Xenopus tropicalis: one gene and its partner. The protein of the gene in region 1 binds, or shares a complex with, the protein of each later gene. Links are inferred from orthologs where the notes say so. Each region holds a gene or a part of one and is shown on either strand. Other genes may lie near its edges.

What was found. The genes of interacting proteins can lie anywhere in the genome.
Region 2: strip2 (region 1) and pdcd10 share a complex: the UniProt entries of both Homo sapiens proteins name them as parts of the core of STRIPAK complex. The link is inferred for Xenopus tropicalis from reciprocal best matches to the Homo sapiens genes STRIP2 and PDCD10.

Annotation. Positions count from the first base shown.
Region 1 is NC_030679.2:87,158,306-87,161,955, reverse strand, and holds part of strip2 (striatin-interacting protein 2), read left to right. Parts: intron 1-297; coding exon 298-404; intron 405-1,687; coding exon 1,688-1,815; intron 1,816-2,756; coding exon 2,757-2,936; intron 2,937-3,611; coding exon 3,612-3,650. UniProt on the Homo sapiens protein: Plays a role in the regulation of cell morphology and cytoskeletal organization. Required in the control of cell shape. Calmodulin-binding scaffolding protein which is the center of the striatin-interacting phosphatase and kinase (STRIPAK) complexes.
Region 2 is NC_030681.2:112,895,049-112,899,432, forward strand, and holds the start of pdcd10 (programmed cell death protein 10), read left to right. Parts: upstream 1-1,476; 5' UTR 1,477-1,571; intron 1,572-2,924; exon of another isoform or gene 2,925-3,081; intron 3,082-4,384. UniProt on the Homo sapiens protein: Promotes cell proliferation. Modulates apoptotic pathways. Increases mitogen-activated protein kinase activity and STK26 activity. Important for cell migration, and for normal structure and assembly of the Golgi complex.

The DNA.
Region 1 (3,650 bases):
ACTAAATAGAAGTACGGTATGGGACCTGTTATCCAGAATGTTCGGGAGCTGGGGTTTTCCAGATTAATTATATCTTAGTTAGGTACAAGGTACTGTTTTATAATTATAGAGAAAAATAATTTTATAAAATTAAATGGAGTCTATGGGAGATGGCCTTTCCATAATTCAGAACTTTCTGGATAACAGGTTTCCGGATAAGGGATCCCATACCTGTACATACAATAATAAAGAAATATTTTTTAACTTAAAATTTGGGGGTGATTAGATATTTTTTAGTTGTTTTTTGTCCCCATACAGGGTTCTACTTAGTGTTATGTATCTGATGGTTGAAAATATTCGTCAAGAATCAGAGAATGATGACCCAGAATGGAAAATTCTACGTGCTAATTTCCGTGAAGAACTTGGTGAGGAGAGACTGTATGGATACCACTAAAACAGGCTTCATCAGTGTTTTTGCTTAAAGTGGTGACATAATTGGTGGCTTAGGACAAATATTTCCCTTTCATTTAATCTGTTAAAGGAGAAGGAAAGGTAAAAACTAAGTAAGCTTTATCAGAAAGGTCTATGTAAATACAGCCATAAGCGCTCACAGAAACGCTGCACTGAGCCCACTGTTAAAAGAAACAGGATTTCTTCTCTCTTTGTTTTCCTGTGCCAGAGTCTGTGCAGCTCTCTCCAGCTCCCCCCTCCCTCAAGAATGCTAAGAACGCCCTCCCCCCCCTTAGGGCCATTCAGCAGGAAGCTTCCTCATAGTCTTACAAACTGCGCATGTACAGGGGTCTTGGTCTTGGTGCAGGAGCCTGGCATTATGGGAATTTTCTTTACAGAGCTCAGCATTTTTTTTTCCTATGAGGCTTCTGATCATCTGAACAGGAGAAATATGGGGAGACTTAAGGGCACCACTGAGAGAACTGAAGGTATGTCTGCATCTTGAGATTAACTCTTTATTAGCCTTTCCTTCTCCTTTAATGGCATTAATGACTGGATCAGTGTGACTTGGCTATTGATGATCATGCACTAAACAACCATCTGGAAACTGGTATGTTTTAATAGGTTTTAATTGGGCCCTACACTTTAAAAGAAAAGGAAAGCTTTATCAGAAAGGACTATGTAAATACAGCCATAAGCACCCACAGAAAAACTGCAGTCAAAAGAAACAGAGTTTTTCTTTTCTTCTTCTGTGTACACATGTCTTTTAGTGTTAGACTTCCTTCTCTCAGAAAAATTCTTCAGGTCACAGGCACGAGCCTGCTCAGGTTTCTCCTGTCTCCCTCTCTCCAGAGATGTATTTAGGTCCGGTGCCTAGGGCTTATGGTGATATAGGGGCATAAGAAAGCATATTAGCATTTTCTGTCCTGTTAGAGAAAACGCCACATGTGAAATAGCCCTAAATAATCAGATCAGATTGTTAAGGTTTAATGGCCTTTTATCACAACACAGAAATAGTTTAGCAATATTATCCTTCAAAAATAAAATAACATTTACTGTTTGCATGATTATTCTATCCTGTGTAGTGTCAAAATATTGGACCAAATACAATTTTATGTTCCTAATCAGTGGAGAATTGTGCTTAATGTTTTTTTATTGGTTCTTGATACAATTTCAAATATTTTTAAAATTAATATTATATATGATAGAAAATAGTATTTATGGAGCATTTCATAATACACGTTGTCTTTCTTTGTAGCCTTCCCTGTGCATCCTGAGGAGCCATTTGCTCATCTCCTCTTTGCAATGGTGACCAAATTCTGCAGTGGTCATTGTCCCCACTTTCCCATGAAAAAAGTTCTCTTGCTGCTCTGGAAAGTTCTGTTGGTATGGTCCCAAATAATTTATTTAAATGTATTAATGACGAAATCCTATGCTACATATATTATTTCTCAGTTCTCTCATCTCATAGAAAAAAGAGTGAACAGAGAAATATATTTCTATTTTAAATGTTATAATGTTAAATATTATAGAATTACGTAAAATAGCTATTCTTTCCTAGAGACACCTAAAAGCCCCGCTTAAAGGATTTGGGTACAAACACATTTGCTGTCCTACATATTCTAGGAATTGGTGAATGAATGATACATCAATATTTTCCCTTATCTGGGACCATGGCCTAGGTTTGAACCTTCAAGTGGGGCTTGAACTGAAACACTTTGACAACCATTGTATTAGAAAAACCTTGTAATTCAATTTCAGATTTCTTAACAAACTTCAGTGTTGGTTTTCTTATTGAGCTGAATCAAGCACTATCTCATAAAACCTAACATAATCTTAAATATTGCATAAGTGCAGTATCAGACATAGAAATTTGTTGCGTATGGGAAATCACCTGTGGAAGAAGGCATTTAAGAAGGCATTTTACATGTGGTAATTCTTATTCTTCTGGACTGAAAGCTAGTTTCAATCCTATTTTCATGGATTAGAAGGAGTGATCTCCCGTGGGTTACAAAGCACTATGTCTGACATTGCCCTTTAAATATTAGCAAGTACCAAACACTTAATATGGGAAAACAAAAACTATATATTAAATATGTTCATGTATGGGTATATATGGGATATATTTTGAATGTCAAATTTATGCATCCCAATAACTGGGATGGAATTCAAAATAGGTGGCATATCAGCAACAGAGAGACCCAAACAGCATCTTACATGTATCTTATGGCATCTTACAGCAGCCCCACTGCCCCCTGTATGTGCAAAAGTTTTGCTTTAGAACCGTGCTGCTTATGCCACCCTGCTAACATTTTATTCCAATTAAGTTTACATTAGGTGGTTTCCCTGAGCTTCAGAGCATGAAGGAGAAAAAAAGATCAGAACTTGGCTTGCCACCCTTACTGGAGGACAGCATACAGGTGATGAAGAACATGAAGGCTATCTCCCCTCCTACTTATGGCATTGAGCTAGGAGAGCAGCAGAAACGTGGGCGCAGAAGTCGCAGGGTTAGTCTTTTTTCCTTGATATGCTCATACATTTTTTTAAAGTGATTTCATATCTTCTTGGCAATATGTTCTGCTTCTGCAGCCTCAGAATATGCCATTATTCACTAATCAGGGCTGAGTGTTAGAAATATAACAGCCCATCAAGAACATAGGCTTAGCAACTACCTTAGTCATTTTAAACCCTCATGGACTTCAGTTGTGCAGTCTCAAACAGCTGATTGAACTTGGCTTTGCCAAATATACATTAGTTGTGCTAATTATACTATAAAATGTGATATTTTACCCTATTGGGTAGTTTAGTGCTCTGTTTTTTTTTTTTTCTGTCAACAACAAGGTTGTTTGAACATACCTGTAACACTTCAACAACCCAATGATCACTGCATATGATTCATGGAATAATTTTTTACCAGGTTTTTAAAACCCCTTGAATTAACCTCTTTCTAAGCCATTTATTGCCATTCACTTGATCTTATAAACTGGTTTCAATATTGTATTGTATCATGTATAATTACCATGTCAGATTATGGTTATTAGAGCTAATAGTGAAAATAAAGGGGCAAGTGCTATGGACTAGCATTTGTGACTATTGCCTTCTTACTGATTTTCCATTAATGTTTATAAATGTTCTGGCTTTGTCAGCCATTTATTTAAACATTAATTTAAACTTATTTGCAGGACAGCCTTGATCTATATAATGAAAAGGATCCATTTAAG
Region 2 (4,384 bases), on another chromosome or scaffold:
GGTTAAGAATAAAAATTTTAAATGGTAGTGTAAATTATTCTTATTTGCTATATAAACAGTGTAATTTAGAAATAAAAAGTACACCATAAAAATCATGACCGTATCCCTTTAAAATCTAAATTGTAGAGAAACAGTAAAAAATAAAAGATAGAAAGCTTTATGTAAACAATTACATTGAAAATAAGGTGAATGAGGGAAATCACACTATATACAGAAATACATTTCTATTGCATAGCATAGCATAAAACTCTATCTGCGGCCCCACCACGTTCCTAAGGTCTTCTCCCCTCTAGTTACACCCCTGCCTTAAACCAGCCACTGAGATTTTTAATTACCGAATGGTGAAAGTTGCTTAGAATGACATTCTTTTATTATACAATAACCAGTTTGTGTGTGGAGGAACTTGTTAAAAGCTTATGAAACTTAAATATATTTAAATTACAATAAATACACAGTGTGGAAGGTGTGAGCACATAATACTCATCCTCCCAAGTGGGCACTGTACACAATAATACAAGGCAGCATACCAAAGGCATGCTCTATAACGAATAACCACTCTAGGCACATACAACTTCATTTGCCAACATATACTAATTCCATGCAGAACGACATTAAAAAGAAAAAATAACCCTTTATTGTGTCATGAGGTGCAAACCATTGTGCCCTCTTCAAACAGTGGGGCTGGGCAGCACAAAAGCATCAATTACTGACTTGGACTTTACCAAAACTGTGTTTCTGGCTAATGACTCCCTATAAGTGGATATAACTATATATCCCTATAACATACAGAATGAAGCACATCCATGCCAGGAGGGACTGTGTGGTACCACTGCACCTGTGCAAATGCGCTAATGATTCACCGAAATCCCATTCTGTAATATAACGGCACTCACAAGCACACCCCAGCCTGCGTCTCATCTCCTGCTATGTTACAAGCTGTCACAATACAACGGAGCGAAAAGCCCCATTTGCACATTACAATTAGAGAGACTTGGGTAGAGCATGCCAGGACCTGGGAGACGCATGGCAGCTGGGCATGACAGCATGGATACACAGCGCGGTTAAAGCGATACTCTCCGCTCACCTCTGTAGCTGCTCCCACACCACCGCCTCCTCCAGCTGAGTGCAGCCCAAGATTTTTCAGCTGCACCACAAGCTTCCCTGGTAAGTCTTACATCACGACTAACTAGCCAATCAAAACGGCACATGCCCACTTTCACAGCGCTTATTGGTCGGAGCAGGCCGCCCACCTTGCGTACTATCTGACAAGTGGGCATGTTTTGTTATGACAAGCCTTTACCTCGAACGGAATTTCGGGAGATGTAGTTCACCTGTGATTGTCTTGTTGTACGCCGATCATTGAAAAGAACTACGTTTCCCTATGTTCTCGGCACATGTTTAGGTCGGCCTCCTGAAAGGTAAACTCTTTGGACTGATTCCGGGCAACGCCTTGTTTCTTCTTCAGGACGGCGGACACTTCTCAGAGCGAACTTCCGGTGCCTGGGTATAAGGTTCTGGGGTGTTGTGGACACTGGGCCTGGTGAAGCTTCGCCTGTTCTCCGGATATACAGGTATTGCTCCGGTTTCTGGTTCTGGTGTCACGGCTGGTCCGATGCAGTTTGAAGTGAGAGTTGCCGGGTTTGTGGAGCTTCCTTGTGCTGAGTAATGCTAATCCCAGCTGGGCCTGGGGTGTCAGTGAGAGGAAGGAAGAGCCGCTCTGTCAGGCCAAAGGCTACTATTTATCACCGCACAAACTTCAGAGCTAGGAGGAGTCTGTTCCTCCGTGGCTACATTAGAGCCCGGCTTGCTCTCATAAACCCATAATATAGAACTGAAACTTGCTCCAAGGCATTATTAAGTATCTATATATAGAGAGAAACTTTGTGTGTTAGGGCCAGACTCGGGCTCGGGGGTTGGCAGAGCAAAATAACACGCATTCATTCATTATTTATATAACTATAAATGATTACAATTATGGGCAAGAGACCGTACCAGGAAACGAGCTATTTACTGGGGGCCATAAAGTCAAATTCATTAGCAGATTGCGACTTCATTAAGGCGAAGAAAACTGCTGATTCCAAAGGTGCTGATATTAACATTTATGGTATTATAAGTTGAAGGTATGACTGACTGACTAAATGTTCACTTAACAGTGAGTGGTATGAGTTAAGGAGAAGTAAACCTAAATATAGAATTCTGCATAATGAAAGCCAAGTCCAGTCTGTGCAAGTTTCCAATATACACTAATTGCTGATTTGAAAGGACCAGGAAAGTGAAAATGTTACTAAATATTAGTTATGCAGAGCAGCCCCTCATAACCCCAGACAATGACTTTATTTCGGCTGCCATCATCCTGGAGCTTCTGGGTCCAACTTGGCCAATGTTGCTTAAGTACTGGATCACCCCAGTATCATTGCTGGCCTGGTACAGTGCAGCCTGCTAACTTTACCTTTCCTTGGCCTTTAAAGTTATTTGTAATTGCAGTTACCATTAAAAATACTATACATTGTTGGTCCTGACTACAATACTTGTAACATTGTTGCAGTAAAGTACTTCCCTCCATGCCAAGGGTCAATACATTTCCCACAATGCCCTGCAGACTTTTTCTTTTTTCTTCTTTACTTGCTGCAAAACATGCAAGTCATTGTGGGAAAAGGAGTCTTGGCTGTAGAAGTACAGACGATTACAAAAATGTTTTAGTGGTACATGCTTAAGGACTGCTTTCAATAGTGATTACATTTACATATTTTAAAGAGAAACTTCACCAAACTCTACATAAATTTTATTTTAATAAGGAAATAACATGTATTTTTTGAGAAACTTTGCAATATATAGTAACAGTTTTCAGCATTTAATTTTACTTGCATTTGAAAGTAGTATGTTTTGTTCTTTTCTGCCAGTGTTGGACAGGATACCCGGGCCCACTGGGAACACCAACCACCCTCACAGTCTCCTCGACCATTACCCAGCCTCTCTAAACTTAGACCTGGTTGAATTGCAGCTGCTGGTTTGAGTCAGGGGAGTTTGGGATGCAGGGACCCATGTGGACTGGGGCCCACTATGGTTTTTCCTGGTTCTCTGGTAGGCCTCTTTTTTTTATAGTGTTGCAGGAGCCAGCACTTTTCTAGCCAAGGCTCCAGCAGTTCCCACCAGGATCTTACATTCTCTTTCACAGGTCTGTTAATAAGGTAGCTTCTGCTTCGTCTTTAAGGAGTCAGATCTAGTAGTGAAGATAGGGAATAGAAGTAGATTTACATTTAAATTCATTGATTTTGTTTTTAATTGATGGATACTGGAAAGTTGATTAGAATTAAATGTTCTTTCATAATGCAGAGATCTGTTATAAGCATCATCCACTAGAAATGATCCCATACCACAGCTAAACCAGGATGCTATGAATGCAGCAGCAAATTGTTGCTGGTTGTTCATAGACCTAGAAGTTGTTTGAGAAAGTGGTCAGCCCAGTTATATACCAGTCCAGCTACAAATAGAATTACTGGCTGAAAGACCAAAAGACTTGTATGTATAGCTCACACATTAAAATCTGGTGATGATCCAGTCTGTGACATTGTTCTCATTGGAGCCTTTAGTGAAGTACTTTCAGTGTATAGGTGATGTTATGCATTGATTATACCAGATATGTCTTACTTGTAGTACTACACCTGGGACTGAACCATAACTTTGTTTCTTGAAAATAGGCACTGATAACTTTGCCTATCCAGGTTTTTGAAATTTTCTCTAGGGCTATGGCAGCAATCCAGCATTCAGGTAATCATTTTAAGTGGCTTTATACTGGCTGAAAACTCACTCTGAAACTTTGCAATGGTTAAATGTGTAACTTTGGGTTTTTATGACATCTGACTAAAGTTATACTTTTCTTCATGTAGGCTTTAAGTGTCTGGAAAGGGTGTAAATCTCTGTTAATCATTAAGGTTATCACCTTTTCCTTACGTTTTTCTTCCCTCCTCCCCCACCCCCTTTAGTCAATGAGCAATACAGATTCTGCATAATGTTTAACAAATAGGAAAGATGCATTTACAAGAGGGTATGGTTTTATTTTTCTAAAGTAAATTGTGGAATCTGTAATCCAGTTATCCAAGGGTGGTGTTAATCCTACTCACTTTTTTTACTGCTCTGGTTTGTCATGGTGACAAAGGCAATAAGCTGATTACATTAACTGACAATTACTCAAAAGTAGTTAAAGGGCTTAAAAAAAAAAAAAAGTTTGCTTTTGGGTTTGCAACAAAAGACCTAACATTCTATACAATATACCTTTAATTGCAAAGACTTAAATGATTCTCCACTCTTAAGGTGGCCATACACGGACCGATTTTTTACTTACAAACGACCGATTCCCGAACAATCCGATGCTATCGTTAAGTTA